Drosophila melanogaster: one gene and its partners. The protein of the gene in region 1 purifies or fractionates together with the protein of each later gene. This does not show direct contact. Each region holds a gene or a part of one and is shown in the gene's direction. Other genes may lie near its edges. The genes, in order: Rab18, Zw10 and spartin.

Region 1 (3,692 bases):
CAAAGAAGGCTGAATTAAAGATTGAACTTAAGATTTGCCATTACTTCTACAAGGCGCTAACTCAACGTTTTTGCTCTATAATGATCTTAAGGACCACAAGTAGTTAAGTAGATCCCATTGGATCCGACTAACATATGTAGAACAGGGAATGCGGCACTTGTTTTTTTGTTTTTTAACTAATTTCCATGAACCCATGGCCAAAGCCATGTGCCACTCGCGTTTTTTCGGTCACAAAATCAAACACGCATCGCTATTTTCACTTTAAAAAAAAGATTTTATTTAGTTTTTCTTCTTCATTGTACCGAAGAACCCTTAACGCGCACTATAGACAGTCGGAGTATCTGGATGCATTCTAGGCCTTGACGGCGAACTTCCTCTGGGGGAAGACGGAGCGCTTGCGGATCTCCTTGAGGGTCTTGCGGTTGGCGTCGCGCGGAGACAGGGCCTTGCGGATAGCGCGGGTCTTCTTCTTGCGCAGATCCAGGGGCTTGTACTTCTTGTTCTTGAAGACCTTGCGCAGATTCTCCTTCTGCTTCTGGTGCATCACAATGTAGACGCGAGCGATGGCCTTGCGGACAACGCGGCTGTATGGATAAGAACGCACATAAATGCACAAAACACCGGAATTAGTTCGTGACGCTTGTCGTTGTGCCGCGGCATACTCACATCTTGGAGAGCTTGGAGGGAGCTCCGCCGGTCACCTTGGCCACGCGCAGGCTGAGCAACTCATTCTTGAGCTCATCCAATTGCTTGGTGAGTTCCTTCTTGTCCTTGATCCTCAGCTCGGAGCACTTAACCTTCACCTGGACGGGAGCACAAACAAACGGGCAGAAAACAAGAACATTAGTATCGCTGCACTGCAAATGGCATGTTCATTGGCCCTTGGGCTGAGAGCATCGGGTGTCGATGGGTGTAACCAACCAACCATTTTTCTAGCTCTGCTCTTTAACACTCAGCACAGAACAAAAAAACCAACGAATTTTCCGTATTCACTAAACCAGCAAATTAAGAAATTCAGCACGTGGCTTAACGCAACCTCTCCGGAAACGCGGCGAAAAGAAAAGGAAAGAAGAAGAAGCAGAGGTGCTAGGGGTGAGCACAAAATAGTGTGCTAGCGTTGCGCGTCTCAACTAGCGTGGTACTGCATTATTAATCGCATTTTGTGTTAACACCATGAACGGCAGTAATTTGGGGCGCGTTTTAGCCATTACTTTGGCTTTTAATTGTTCGTTTCGTTGTAAAATAGGTTAGAAATCTTTTCGCTCACAAAATACCAACCATTTTTCTCGCTGGTCACGTCAAAAAAGAAAGATGGGACTTGGAGGAAAGAACTAGTTGGTGGTGGCACTATTGTAACTTCGAGCGTCGAACCAGTGGCAACGCTGATATCGAACCGGTTCCGAGTCCGTCATTAAAATAGATAAATCAAATTACTACGATTGCAAAAATATTCAATCACAATATTTACTTTTTTATTTTGCTAATGCCAATGAAAAGCTAAATAATACCATTTTAGAGAGCTATAAAATTAAGACATTACGCGTTTCGGAATTATTTTTCGAGGAAAATTATTTCTTATATAATTTAAACGTTTATATAAAATAATTATAACACCAACTATTTTGAGCGCAGAAGGAATCCTAAATTTATGATATTTTATAATTATTTTTTATAATTAATTTTTTTTTTTTAATTAATTTTTATACAACAATATAAGGAACGCACTGTTACCTATGTGGCAACAAAATTTGATCTGCTTAACGTGTTTTAGTTTTCATTGCGCGTTTATTATGGTAGTAACAACAGAATTATTTTTTTAAATATAGTTAGTCCTCCTAAGTCAAGACCCGATCGGTTTTGTTAAAAGGGTGGAATTAAATTATTTTAAGAAGCTAAATGTGTGTGCAAAAAAGTAGCCAGATTACGGCCACAGGTCACCACTAGATCGAAGTGGCGGTCTGGCAAGGCTGCTGTTACAGTGGTCCATCTCTATCGTGAGAATGTAAACAAAGCAGCAAGGTGGCAACGCCGCACTCACTTACTCCAGATAATCTACATAAATAATACAATTGGCAATATTCTTATCGTTTTAAGTAAATAACAGTAGTGATAAGCATTAAGCGGAGCTCAAACCACACAATGGCTGATCGGGCTATCAAGCTGCTGGTGATCGGGGAAAGCGGCGTGGGCAAGTCCAGGTGCAGTCCCAAGTCCATGGAGCAATTCCACTGCGTATATTACCAAAAGCTTGCATCACTCATCAACTTTCATTATCATTTCATCATAGTTTGATACGTCGCTTCGTGGAGAACAAGTTCGACCAGAACCATGACGTCACGATTGGCATGGACTTCAAGAGCAAAGTGATGCAGGTGGACGGCATAGACTACAAGGTGGCCCTGTGGGATACGGCGGGCGCCGAGAGATTCCGCAGCCTGACGCCCAGTTTCTATCGGAAGGCTCTGGGCGCCATTCTAGTGTACGACATCACCAGCAGGGACAGCCTGGTCAAGCTGGAAACCTGGCTGGCTGAACTGGATAGCTACAGCGACAATCCCAACATTGCCATCATTGTGGTAGGCAACAAGATCGACGAGGAGCGAGTTGTGGATCGCGAGGAGGGTCGAAAGTTTGCCAGGAAGCACAGGGCGCTCTTCATCGAGACCTCAGCCAAATGCGATCAGTTCGTCAGCGATGTGTTCAAAGATGTGGTGGAGAAGGTGAGCTAGCTACCAACCAAATACTTGGCATTCGTGTTTCCAATTATCCACATCCGCTTTGCAGATCGTCTCCTCCGAATACTTCAACAATGGCAATGCCTCCGCCGGTCTGGACATCGCCAGCGATCGGGATCTGGAGGCAAGCGCGTCTACGTGTTACTGTTGATTTCGAATGTTATGCGTGCTTTTGTCAAATTTATATCGTGTATTTATTTAATCGTTTCAATATCACTAGCATAAAGTCAATCAACCTTAACGTTCAATCGTGTACTCCAATCTGAGCAGGGCTATCGATTCACTTAGCTTGCAGGGTTTGCAGATCAGTCAGAATCCTTTTTAAATTCTATCCTTCTAATATTCCTGTACGGCTTATTGTCCATCTGCTTGCATTTCGTCTGCGACCAGTCAAAAGTCAAGTTCAGCATTTTCTTTTCATTATTTTATTGACATGATGATAGTTTTCCATTTGCGTTCACAAACGCAACAAATAAAGTGGAGAATTGGATTAGTGACCAACTGAAATGTACATGGGCTATGCGATTTTTTTTATTTCTATTGCATCTGGTGGTGTAAATTTATAAGTGAGTTCGGTTTATATTTACAATTATCGATGATTAATATTTATTAATTAACGCTAACAAGGTGGATTTAGAAATCAATGAAGCTGTTCTTCACGATTGGCTCGCTCGCTATTCATCAATTTCTTGTAAATCCCTTGCACGCGACGGATGCTTAGAAAACAAAGCTGGACATTTGGCCGCAACAATTCCCGGAGCACGCCCCTTATGTACATTTTTGTAATCGCATAGGTTCCGTAAGAGTAACTTAGAATCTAACTTCACGCTGTTGCTCCTCCATCGATACCTCGGATCCGCACCTGCTCCCGCCCAGTTCCCCAGTGATGCGCACGACGGGCATCTCTCCCATCTCCTTACTACTTCCCCGCAAGGCCGCTCTTCTTGGCGTCCAGTT
Region 2 (5,410 bases), 3.1 Mb from region 1:
CGCTAATTAAGGAACTGCTCATCTTGCCGCCCGACAATAGCTCTACACGCAGCTTTTGGATGACGTCCTTCAGCATATTAACCTCCGCCGCATGCGGATCGAGATTGACCACTGGCTTGTTTTTGATTTGCAGTGCTCGATCCGCATAGCGTAGGGTGCTCAATGTCTCGGCCACGTTGTAGTCGGCGGGACTGACGCAAGCAATCATCAGCGTAATGGAATTACCGCCCAGGGAGTCCTGCAGCAGACGCGTCAGCTTGGACTGGCGATAGGGTATGTAGCCAGCGGCCTGGCCAGCTGCAATTTATATGGAATATATAAAAATGGAGATCAATTTTCAAGCCAGTGGCTAAATGATAGATACTCACATCCCAGGGCATTGATCACGTTGCCCAGGGCCAGAAGACCCTTATTGATGTTCACACCCTCTTTGAACCGATCGCCGCTGGCTAGGGTCTTTGAGCAGCGTTCAGAACCAGCCAGATCCACCAGGTTGAACCTGGACGTGGTAACGGATTGCCTATCGGAGATTGGAGGTCAAATGTGTATAAGCATTAAGTATTCTAACGAGGTGATGGCGGCCCACAACATACTTGCCGTCCAGCTTGGTGGCTACTAGCGTCAATGTGAATATGGCATGGGATCTTGAAGAGGTTTCATTCATAGCCGTGGCGGCCACAGCCCGTCCGGCTGAGCCGCGGATCAGATGATCGGTCACTTGCTGGGCGGATGTGACCACTAGCTCGGTGAGGCCCGGCATGATAATACGGTTCTTGACCTCCCTGATGTCTACGGTGGCCTTGTCCCGAGTTTTCGACGAAAAAAGGTCATAGAACTGCTCCTGGTAGAGCTCCACAAAAGAGCATGTGACAGCAAAACGAAATTCGCTCTGCATTTCCGCAATGGCTGTGAATATATCATGAACGGCGCGTGGTATAACGCCCACATGGTCATCTAACACTCCGTTGAAGGCGGTGCCCATAGTGTAGGTCTTTCCGGAACCCGTTTGTCCATATGCCAAGATTGTTACGTTATAGCCATTTAACAGCTTTTTCACTTTGGCCTGTACACACGTCTCGAATAGATCCTTTTGCGAGTCGTCAATGTCGAAGACATAGTTGTACGTATACGACTCATTCCGGTTGACTGTAACCTGTGGCGCTCCATCCGCCGATCGTTCGACGGCAATCCGGCAGCCGCGATCCAACTCGGACTGCACCAAGGGGCGCACGCGCAAGGCCACTGCCACACAGCTGGGATCCTCGCTGGACATCTGGGGGTAGGGGGAGGGAAGGACAATCATAACATTCCATCACCTTTACCGCCATCTCGACCAACACCACCAACCACTTACCTTCTCTGGGGCACAGCAAGTCCGACTTTGGTTAACTGATCAACTGGTTAGCACTTACAAAAACTTAGAATTTTGGTTGGTCTAGATTTTGGAGCAACGCGGCTTCTCCACGCGCAGCCCGGCACTCTCAATGAATTCGATTTTTGGATCAAGGAACTAAACTAATGAAACGCGACGCTAAGAAGCAAATGCATTTCTGCCAGTATTTTTAAAAATGGCGTTGTTATCGATTCGTTGCAGATGTCGATTAGTGGCGCGATCGACGGAGGTGCCGGTGTAGAAAGATTTCGATTTTTTTATAATTTGGCTCTTGAATAGCACATTTGCAAAAATGTGGTTGGACGATTTGTGCACGCCGATTTGACAAAATGAATCATTGACAGTGTATCTACATACTTATACATAAAAATAAAAGCTACCTAGATCTACAACTATTTTAGCTACTGCCAGTGATAAGAGCCCAATTCTTGTCAACTAGCCAATTCGCCGATAGCCGATAGCAGACAGCCGCACATATCTATCGCTTTTTTGAACAATCGTTGGTAGCAACAGGGAATTGCAGAAACCAGTTGTCTTGGGTTTCGCAAGAATTGGAAAAGGAGGATCTGGTCAAAGAGCAGGACATGGAGGAAGAGGCGCCGCGGTTCAATGTGCTGGAGGAGGCGTTCAACGGCAATGGGAACGGGTGCGCCAACGTGGAGGCCACCCAATCGGCCATATTAAAAGTGCTGACGCGCGTTAATCGCTTCCAGATGCGCGTCCGCAAGCACATCGAAGACAACTACACGGAGTTTTTGCCCAACAACACGTCGCCGGACATATTTCTGGAGGAGTCGGGGTCCTTGAATCGCGAGATTCACGACATGCTCGAGAACTTGGGTTCCGAGGGACTGGACGCCTTGGACGAGGCGAATGTCAAGATGGCGGGTAACGGCAGGCAGCTGCGAGAGATCCTTTTGGGTCTGGGTGTCAGCGAGCATGTGCTAAGGATCGACGAGCTGTTCCAGTGCGTGGAGGAGGCCAAGGCCACCAAGGATTACTTGGTGTTACTGGACCTTGTCGGTCGTTTGAGGGCTTTCATCTATGGCGATGATTCCGTTGACGGGGACGCGCAGGTGGCCACGCCAGAGGTTCGACGCATCTTTAAGGCTCTCGAGTGCTACGAGACCATCAAGGTGAAATACCATGTACAGGCATATATGCTGCAGCAGAGCCTCCAGGAGCGCTTCGATCGCCTGGTGCAGCTGCAGTGCAAATCCTTTCCCACATCGCGTTGCGTCACCTTGCAGGTGAGCCGGGATCAAACGCAGCTGCAGGATATTGTGCAGGCTCTCTTCCAGGAGCCCTACAATCCGGCGCGCCTCTGCGAATTCCTGCTGGACAATTGCATAGAACCGGTGATCATGCGCCCAGTGATGGCCGATTACAGCGAAGAAGCCGATGGTGGCACCTACGTTCGATTGTCGCTTTCCTACGCCACCAAGGAGCCCAGCTCAGCGCAGCTTCGCCCGAACTACAAGCAGGTCTTGGAGAACCTCAGGCTGCTGCTGCACACGCTGGCCGGGATCAACTGCAGTGTGTCCAGGGACCAACATGTTTTTGGCATTATTGGCGATCATGTGAAGGATAAAATGCTGAAATTACTGGTGGACGAGTGCCTGATACCAGCTGTGCCCGAAAGCACGGAGGAGTATCAGACATCCACGCTGTGTGAGGATGTCGCCCAGCTGGAGCAGCTGCTTGTAGACTCATTCATCATCAATCCCGAGCAAGATCGAGCCCTAGGGCAGTTTGTAGAGAAGTACGAGACCTACTACCGCAATCGGATGTATCGTCGAGTTCTGGAAACGGCGCGGGAGATCATCCAGCGCGATCTGCAGGACATGGTGCTGGTGGCGCCCAACAACCACTCAGCCGAAGTGGCAAACGATCCCTTCCTCTTCCCACGCTGCATGATCTCGAAAAGTGCTCAGGTAAGTCGTTCGCTAAACGAAACGATTGATTACGCACTAATGGATTCATTTTCGCCGGCAGGACTTTGTCAAACTAATGGACCGCATTCTTCGCCAGCCCACGGATAAACTGGGCGACCAAGAGGCCGATCCCATAGCCGGCGTCATTTCCATCATGCTGCACACCTACATCAATGAGGTGCCCAAGGTGCACCGCAAGCTGCTCGAGAGCATTCCACAGCAGGCCGTCCTGTTCCACAACAATTGTATGTTCTTCACACACTGGGTAGCGCAGCATGCGAACAAGGGCATCGAAAGCTTGGCGGCGCTGGCCAAGACACTGCAGGCCACCGGTCAGCAGCATTTCCGCGTGCAGGTCGACTACCAATCCTCCATCCTGATGGGCATCATGCAGGAGTTCGAGTTCGAGAGCACGCACACGCTGGGCTCTGGTCCACTGAAGCTGGTGCGTCAGTGCCTTCGCCAGCTGGAGCTGCTGAAGAACGTGTGGGCCAATGTGCTCCCGGAGACCGTGTACAATGCAACCTTCTGCGAGCTAATCAACACATTTGTCGCCGAGCTAATCCGTCGAGTGTTCACGCTGCGCGACATTTCCGCACAGATGGCCTGTGAGCTGAGCGATCTCATTGACGTGGTGCTCCAGCGGGCGCCCACGCTTTTCCGCGAACCAAACGAGGTGGTCCAGGTGCTCTCTTGGCTTAAGCTGCAGCAACTGAAGGCCATGCTGAACGCGTCGCTCATGGAGATCACAGAGCTGTGGGGCGACGGCGTCGGCCCGCTGACCGCCAGCTACAAGTCGGATGAGATAAAGCACCTAATCAGGGCGTTGTTCCAGGATACGGATTGGCGGGCCAAGGCCATTACGCAGATTGTATAGGGCGCGTGCGCCTTTTTTGCGAGCGAGGAATGTTGAACGGCGGATAGACATCACATTTGAGGTGGTAAACGGAGTCTAAATTTGATGATCACCATCAATGTGTCCTTACTTTAATTCCTTGAATTGTTTACCACAAATGCCAAAAGTAATAGAATTTGATAATCTTTAATTCTCCGAATGGTTTCTGTTGTACATAGAAAAGTAATTATCCACAAAAATCCATTCCATTCTTCCCGCAACGCAACACAATATTTAACTTAAGACTTATTTAAATGAATAAAAACAACTAAATCCCATTAGTGCGCCTCTTGTCGCGCTTGTAGAACGAGCATGTATAGCTGCTCAGTAAGCAGTCTGTGATCTCGGCCGTGGGTGACGGTTAGGATGCGTTGGGCCTCCTCCAGATGGTGCAGTGCCTCCTTGGAATGGCCCTCGTAGAGCTGAATCTTGCCCAGCTTCATGTGAAGCAGGCCCAATAGCGGATTCCAGGGTCCGTGGTATTTTCGAAAGCCTGGCAGCAAACGTTGCCCGTAATCCAGGGCGTCGCTCCACTTGCCCACTTCGATGGCTGCTTCGAAGGCCGCATCGAGCGTCTTGACGTACCACACATTCAGGGGATGGAACACGCCAGTCTGCTTGTCCAGACACACCTTGCACACATCGAGATCTGTGATCGAGAGAGTGAAAATGTGCTTATTATGGAGCTAATTCCATTTCGTCGCATCTACTCACAGGCCACGTCCTTCATGTTCTCCAGATTGTGCCGGGTCAGAGTCATCGCCTCGTTGAAGGCATTTCTCAACTTGGGACTGATGCCGGCATCGCATCGCGGGCAATTATTGCGGTCCACACTGATTCCCGCACCGCAGTTGCGATTGGGACACAGGGCAGCCAGCATCTCCTTCGATTCCTTGGCATCCGTGCACTTGCTGCACACGCATAGGAAGTAGTAGTGCTCCTTGAGGTCCAGACGCCTCTGCTCCGGCGTATTGAGCAGGTCGATGTAGCTGATGAAGATTTTCGACCAGTCCAGGCATTCCATGTCCTCGATCGCGTGGACGTGCAGCTCGTTGCCCTCGAAGGTGGCGACCGCATTTGGCTGGCAGCTATGGTCCGTAATCGAGACGCCCAGATATATGGCCGTGGCAATTGAGTTCATCTCGGCGTCCAAGATATTGAAGCCATTGGTGATCAGCTGCAAAGAGC
Region 3 (5,806 bases), on another chromosome or scaffold:
CTCAAGGTAATCGTCACGGAACCGGAGCCAGACGTGCAGTCGGAGCTGCTGAATTCGCTGGCAAAATGCATTGAGACATTGGGTCCGAATTGCCTTAACGAGGATGCCATGAAACAAGTTCTCGAGATTATAAACAAGTATGTTCTGGAGCATTTCGAGCGTGCTGACAAGCGTTTGGCGGCTCGCAATGAGGAAGACTACGACGACGGTGTGGAGGAGGAGCTGGCCGAGCAGGACGACACAGATGTTTACATCCTTTCCAAAATCGTGGACATTACACACGCCCTTTTCCAGACCAACAAGGCTCAGTTCTTACCCGCCTTTGAACAGGTGGCTCCGCACTTTGTCAAGCTACTGGAGCCCAGCCGACCTGTAGCTGATCGGCAGTGGGGCTTATGCGTGTTCGATGATCTGATCGGTGAGTTGGTTTTCTTAATTGAGTTTTGCAGTTCAATAGTACCGCCGATACCTTCAAACATCAAATCATTTGTGCCACCATAAAACTAAAGACTTGTATTCTCATTTACCTACAGAATTTTGTGGCCCCGCTTGTGCTCCATACCAGCAGATCTTTACGCCAGCCCTCGTCCAGTACGTGTGCGATAAGGCCCCAGAAGTGCGCCAGGCGGCTGCCTACGGATGCGGGGTGCTCGGCCAATTCGCTGGTGAGCAGTTTGCGCATACATGCGCCCAGATCATTCCACTGCTGGTGCAGGTCATCAACGATCCCAAAGCCCGCGAAATCGAGAACATCAGTCCGACAGAGAATGCGATCTCGGCGTTTGCTAAGATCCTCAAGTACAACAACTCGGCGCTGAGCAACGTGGACGAGCTGATCGGTGTTTGGTTCTCATGGCTGCCGGTGTCCGAGGATTCGGAAGAAGCCGCCCACATCTATGGCTACCTATGCGACTTGATTGAAGGCAACCATCCGGTCATTCTTGGGGCAAACAACGGCAATCTGCCGCGCATTGTCTCCATCATCGCTGAATCCTTCTGCACCAAGGTGGTTGAGGCGCAGTCCGCCACCGGCACTCGTATGCTCACTATCGTCAAACAAGTGGAATCGAATCCGGAGGTAATGGCTGCTTGTGCCAGCACCTTGAGCCCGGAACAGCAGCAGGCGCTGCAGGATGCCTACCGGGAGCTGGCAAACGTGGCTCCCGCCTAAGATATCGCAATCCCAATCCTCTTCAGACCAAGTCCATTCATGTCGACCAAGCCAAGAAAGGAACGATGGATGCTTCAGCTACTCGTTATCATTATTTTTCATCTTACCGAAATTTTGAAGTATATGTTTAACACATAGATATCCATTTATACAGATATACATTTATGTGTACAATAGAGTTATCCGGGTATATAATTCTATACATATTGTGATTTTAATCAAAACTCTTCTCCCGAAGACAAAAGTCTGCCTCGTTAGAATTTGATATGTTGTATGGATGCGATCCAAATGCCATCCCAATCACACCCAAATTCCAATAGAATATTTTCGTTACTCAAATTTTCATATGTTTAATACATATGTGTGTATATACGGCCCTAACGGCCGCCTCTCCCTGCGGGGAAAACAGGATGTAAACGTTGTCCGAATCGAACGAAATATAATTTTGTGCATTCAAACCAGGATCGACAAATATATTTAAAGGAATAACATTTATTGTATTTTAAACATGATAAAAACGAAATAAATAACAAGTAAATCGATATTTTAATTGCCACGAGCTTATGTTTTAGTATTGCTTTTTATTATTAACCATTCATTCAATTTCAAATTCGATTCCCGCAAAAGACTTTTCAAAAGTCGTTGTGGCAACTCTGTCTGTGGCAGTGAACATGCAGAGGCCTCCTAAACAGCTGATCTGATTCGCAATGGAAAGTAAGCAAATCAAAACAAAGATGGAAAAACTTGGAACATTCAACTCGAATGGAAAACACACATTTTAACATGTTATTTACGAATTTAAGTGATATTAGGCAAACGATATTCTCACTTTAAAGGTGTGCGACTAAACAGGAGCAGAAAATAATTCGTAAAATTAGTGAGAAAATAGCGAAAGAGAGCGTTTCTCTGTTTGCTTTCTAAATCATTAGGTGACTTGGTGGGCAAAGTGCAGATTAAACGCTCAGAATCAGACGAAACCAAAACCCAAAGGTGAGTGAGTGCAACAGGTAGACGGTGAGTGCAGCGGAAGGGCGGATGCGGTTTCGTTGGCCACAGTTCAATTTAGAGCAGCTGCAGGAGAAGATGTAAAAGCGCGTCATTCCCACTTTGGTGACGCATTTTGGTCACCCTTTTAGTTGGTCGCGGTTGCCCGCCTCGTCGGGATGTATCTCTGCCAGCAAGTTCGTTTACAATATCTTAAATCTCACGAATATTAACAAAATATGTAGTAATTTGCACTATAAGACTTACACAGAACTTTGCGAAAGGGGGATTCATAAGAATAAAGACAGCACATAGAACATGTATACTAACTAAACCATAAATAACCATAGTCATTGACTTTAATAGATTCTTAGTTCTACATACTAAAGTTTTGAGGGCTTTGGTTTTTTGTATAGTATCTAATGTTTCTGTGCTGTTTCTTAGGTATTAAAGGCCGCGATGGCGGAGGAGGAAAGCGAATTCCTGGAGGCCTATGCTGGCATCAGAACAGCCTACAAAGCGGCCATGACTCAGGTGGACCTGGCCGTAAGTCACGAGGAGCAGGAATCCCCCGGCCAGGCCATTGTGGCCTATGAGCTGGCCCTGCGTATGATAGAGGACACCTTCGGCATTCCAGTAGGTCTTCCCAACAAGATCGACACCGTGCAGGCGGAGTGGAACGACGCCTGTGCGCTGATCCAAAAGCTCAAGAGCGCCGAAACGGAATTGAGATACCGCCTCAAAGTTCTGCGATCCCAGAAACAATCCATTGATGATTCAGCCGTGGAGGCCACGGAGGAAAGTCGAGCAGAGATGGATACAAAAAGGCCGCCGTTGCTGGCGGAAAACCCCTCCACGCAATATGGCATAGCCAATGCTAGCGGAGCACCAAAAACCTACAGAGAGCTCGCTGCCGGCTTGCGGGAGCTCTTGGCTGTTCGGGACGCCAAAGTCTTGCTCGATGAGCTCTTCCGTGCACAGGTCAAAATGTACCGAATCGAAGCCAGTGGATCAGTAACCACCATAAGCGGCTCGTCAACTATGTCATTGGTAATGTGCACCGTGGGTGGCAAATGGAAGTACCTCAGTGGCATCTACTTCATTCAGTGCTCCATGCCAAATGAGGGGACTGCAGGGATTTGGCTTTACCCCCTGGTTCCCTCGATCACAAACTGCTACCAAACAGAGTACGGAGCCTTTATTTTTCCTGATATGGAGTGCCAGCAGCCGGGCAATGCATTTGGTTTGATGCTAACGAAGGAGGGCCAGACATCGCGCACGGAGGACGAACTGGAGGATCTTCAGCAGTTCTTTCTTGACCTGTTGGAGGCCGTACTCGCTGGCACGGTAGTGCAGCTGAAATCGCCGACCTCCCAACGTGCTGGCCTAGCTTCAGATACCGTTTCCGGGTCGGAGCAGGTGTCCAGACACATTGTAAGTGCGGCTGATTTCATTGCTAGTAACCTGGTACGGGGCGCCGAGAAGACAGGAGGCTTTATGCTTAGGAGTACTCCGTATATCATTTCCAAGATGACGCCAGCCTCGATGGATGCTCAGGTGCCCAGCTCCGTCCAAACTTCAGGTGAGTTAGTTCCAAATAGGGAAGAGCTGTATTTAGGGCGGAAGTATGGTAGCTTCCGAATGAGCATGTAACGATAAAATTAGAAGATAAGATTCGAAGTCGAAGATGTGATCGTCACTACACTTCCACCTCGATCGGAGTTTGTGCTTGTGTTTGATAATCATGTTAATCAATGGTTTGGAAATGTGCAGATTACATATAAGATAGATCTAATGTATCTTATGTTGTAACCTTTTGTTCATTATAGTTGAGGTGGCCCAAAAAGTGACGCACGCCGCAGCCGGAATGACAGGATGGATAGCTGGAAAGGTGGGCACTGCTTCAATGGCAGTCGGCCGCTACCTGGCTCCCCACATTCAGGAGCAAGGCTCTAAACTGCTGCAGAAGGGATTTGGCTACGACACCAGCGAGGCTAATAGCACCATGGAGGGCGCCATGACCATCGCGGCAGGAGCCGTGGAAGGAGTGAGCACCGTATTCGATGGCCTCGAGACTTCCGCCAAGATCCTAGGCTCCAGCCTCAGTGAAAACTCCGTCAAGATAATCGAACACAAGTGGGTTGGCTTTGGCTTCTTAATGCTTATGCAGTTTTGTAACAGATGTCATTACGAATTTTCGTCCGAATTGAAAGTAATCACTTAGGCTGGCAACGGTTTATTCAATTTAAATATATCTGAGATTTAAGTTATGCGCAATGTGCAGAGGATCGCAAAAATGATCAAGGATCGGGAAATGTTACTCAAGCTTGCACACAAAGAAAAGTTTTATAACTTGTTGTGAATCGTCTCAAATATGTAATGCTACTAAAGGTCTACTAAGATCTAGATATTCATTTTGGGTTTCTTTCGCCTTCGAAAAAGAAAAACATATAGTGCGGGCATTTTTAATATTTCATATATTTACATATATTTATTTGCTATTTCAGATATGGCCAGCAGACGGGGAATCTGGCTAGTGGCACCTTTGACACGGTGGGCAACGTTTTCGTGGTCAGTCAGAACGTGAACTACATAACCCCGAAGGGCATTGCCAAGAAAATGGTCAAACGAACAGGAGAAGCTGTGGTCAGTGACTACAAGCGAGACTTACGCAAATCGGAATCTCATTATATTAATGCCGGATCTCTTTATCCGGATCTTCGAGCTTTGAAGGAATAGCGGGAAAACCAAAGGAATTTATCACATGTTATTATTATTATTATTATTATTATTATTATTATTATTATTATTATTATTATTATTATTATTATTATTATATTGAAATATTTATATGCCATTTATAGCTTCTAATTAAAAGAAAAAATATAAATAAATATTATGTTCAATAACACATAAAAAAGATATTTCGAAAGATTTTGCATCAAAACCTTATTTTAGTGTTCAAAAATGCTTTACTTTTGTATTTGTAGATAAACCGAAGCTAGAAAGTATTAAAAAGAAAAATGTTTAATTCACTTTGTATATTTGTATAACCTAAATTCTAGCTTCCTAGCACTCCAACCGCTAAGTATCGGGTATCTTTTGTTTTTAAATTAAAATGTCCTGATTTTTGATACACAACTCAGTCCTCTTTCACTAATTTAAAAGAATTAACAATTTTAGCAAGGAATTTAGTATGAACGTACCATGTAAATTGTGAACAAATGTTGATCTAAGTATCTTTAGATTGACGATCAATAAAAAGCCGTCTAATTTAGCGGCTTTAAATCCTCGTAAGTACTGTCATAGCTTCCGATCGCCTGAAGTTACAGACTTTTGAATCTTATATTGTTGAAAAGGTTATGTTATTTGCATTATTTCCTAACCATTTCCTAAGACTCTATATAGCTATCTTATTCCTTATTCTTTTTTCCTATCTTAAAAAGCACTCTGATCAAGCAAAAACTTTGCGGAACGAGTCAAATTTTATATAAACAAGTTAGGAATTTATATAACGAGCGATGAACCCCACATATATACTTTGGCGAAATATGGTAAAACTTCACGTTTTGTTTTATACACGAGATATAGAATGTGATATTCTATAGGTCCTAAGTGTCATATATCAAGGAGCCCATATATTTAGTTAGG

What was found.
Region 2: the proteins of Rab18 (region 1) and Zw10 purify together in Drosophila melanogaster (affinity purification with western blotting; one study listed by BioGRID). This does not show direct contact.
Region 3: the proteins of Rab18 (region 1) and spartin purify together in Drosophila melanogaster (affinity purification with western blotting; one study listed by BioGRID). This does not show direct contact.

The regions. Positions count from the first base shown.
Region 1 is NC_004354.4:5,670,109-5,673,800, reverse strand, and holds Rab18 (Rab18), read left to right. Parts: upstream 1-1,988; 5' UTR 1,989-2,139; coding exon 2,140-2,198; intron 2,199-2,287; coding exon 2,288-2,720; intron 2,721-2,784; coding exon 2,785-2,886; 3' UTR 2,887-2,974; downstream 2,975-3,692. Other genes in the region: RpL35 (ribosomal protein L35), read right to left, coding at 353-584, 667-803, 1,279-1,281; CG4119 (uncharacterized protein), read right to left, coding at 3,655-3,692.
Region 2 is NC_004354.4:2,602,326-2,607,735, forward strand, and holds Zw10 (Zeste-white 10), read left to right. Parts: upstream 1-1,871; 5' UTR 1,872-1,977; coding exon 1,978-3,327; intron 3,328-3,388; coding exon 3,389-4,204; 3' UTR 4,205-4,499; downstream 4,500-5,410. Other genes in the region: Klp3A (Kinesin-like protein at 3A), read right to left, coding at 1-297, 369-520, 594-1,273; Smyd3 (SET and MYND domain containing, class 3), read right to left, coding at 4,501-4,871, 4,937-5,399. UniProt on the Drosophila melanogaster protein: Essential component of the mitotic checkpoint, which prevents cells from prematurely exiting mitosis. Required for the assembly of the dynein-dynactin, Mad2 complexes and spindly/CG15415 onto kinetochores.
Region 3 is NT_033777.3:4,652,919-4,658,724, forward strand, and holds spartin (spartin), read left to right. Parts: upstream 1-1,881; 5' UTR 1,882-2,161; intron 2,162-2,240; exon of another isoform or gene 2,241-2,352; intron 2,353-2,599; 5' UTR 2,600-2,614; coding exon 2,615-3,737; intron 3,738-3,984; coding exon 3,985-4,291; intron 4,292-4,662; coding exon 4,663-4,894; 3' UTR 4,895-5,067; downstream 5,068-5,806. Other genes in the region: Karybeta3 (karyopherin beta 3), read left to right, coding at 1-418, 534-1,171. UniProt on the Drosophila melanogaster protein: During postembryonic development, functions with endocytic adapter Eps-15 in neurons to restrain synaptic growth, by inhibiting BMP signaling, and to control synaptic endocytosis. Required presynaptically for neuromuscular junction (NMJ) neurotransmission.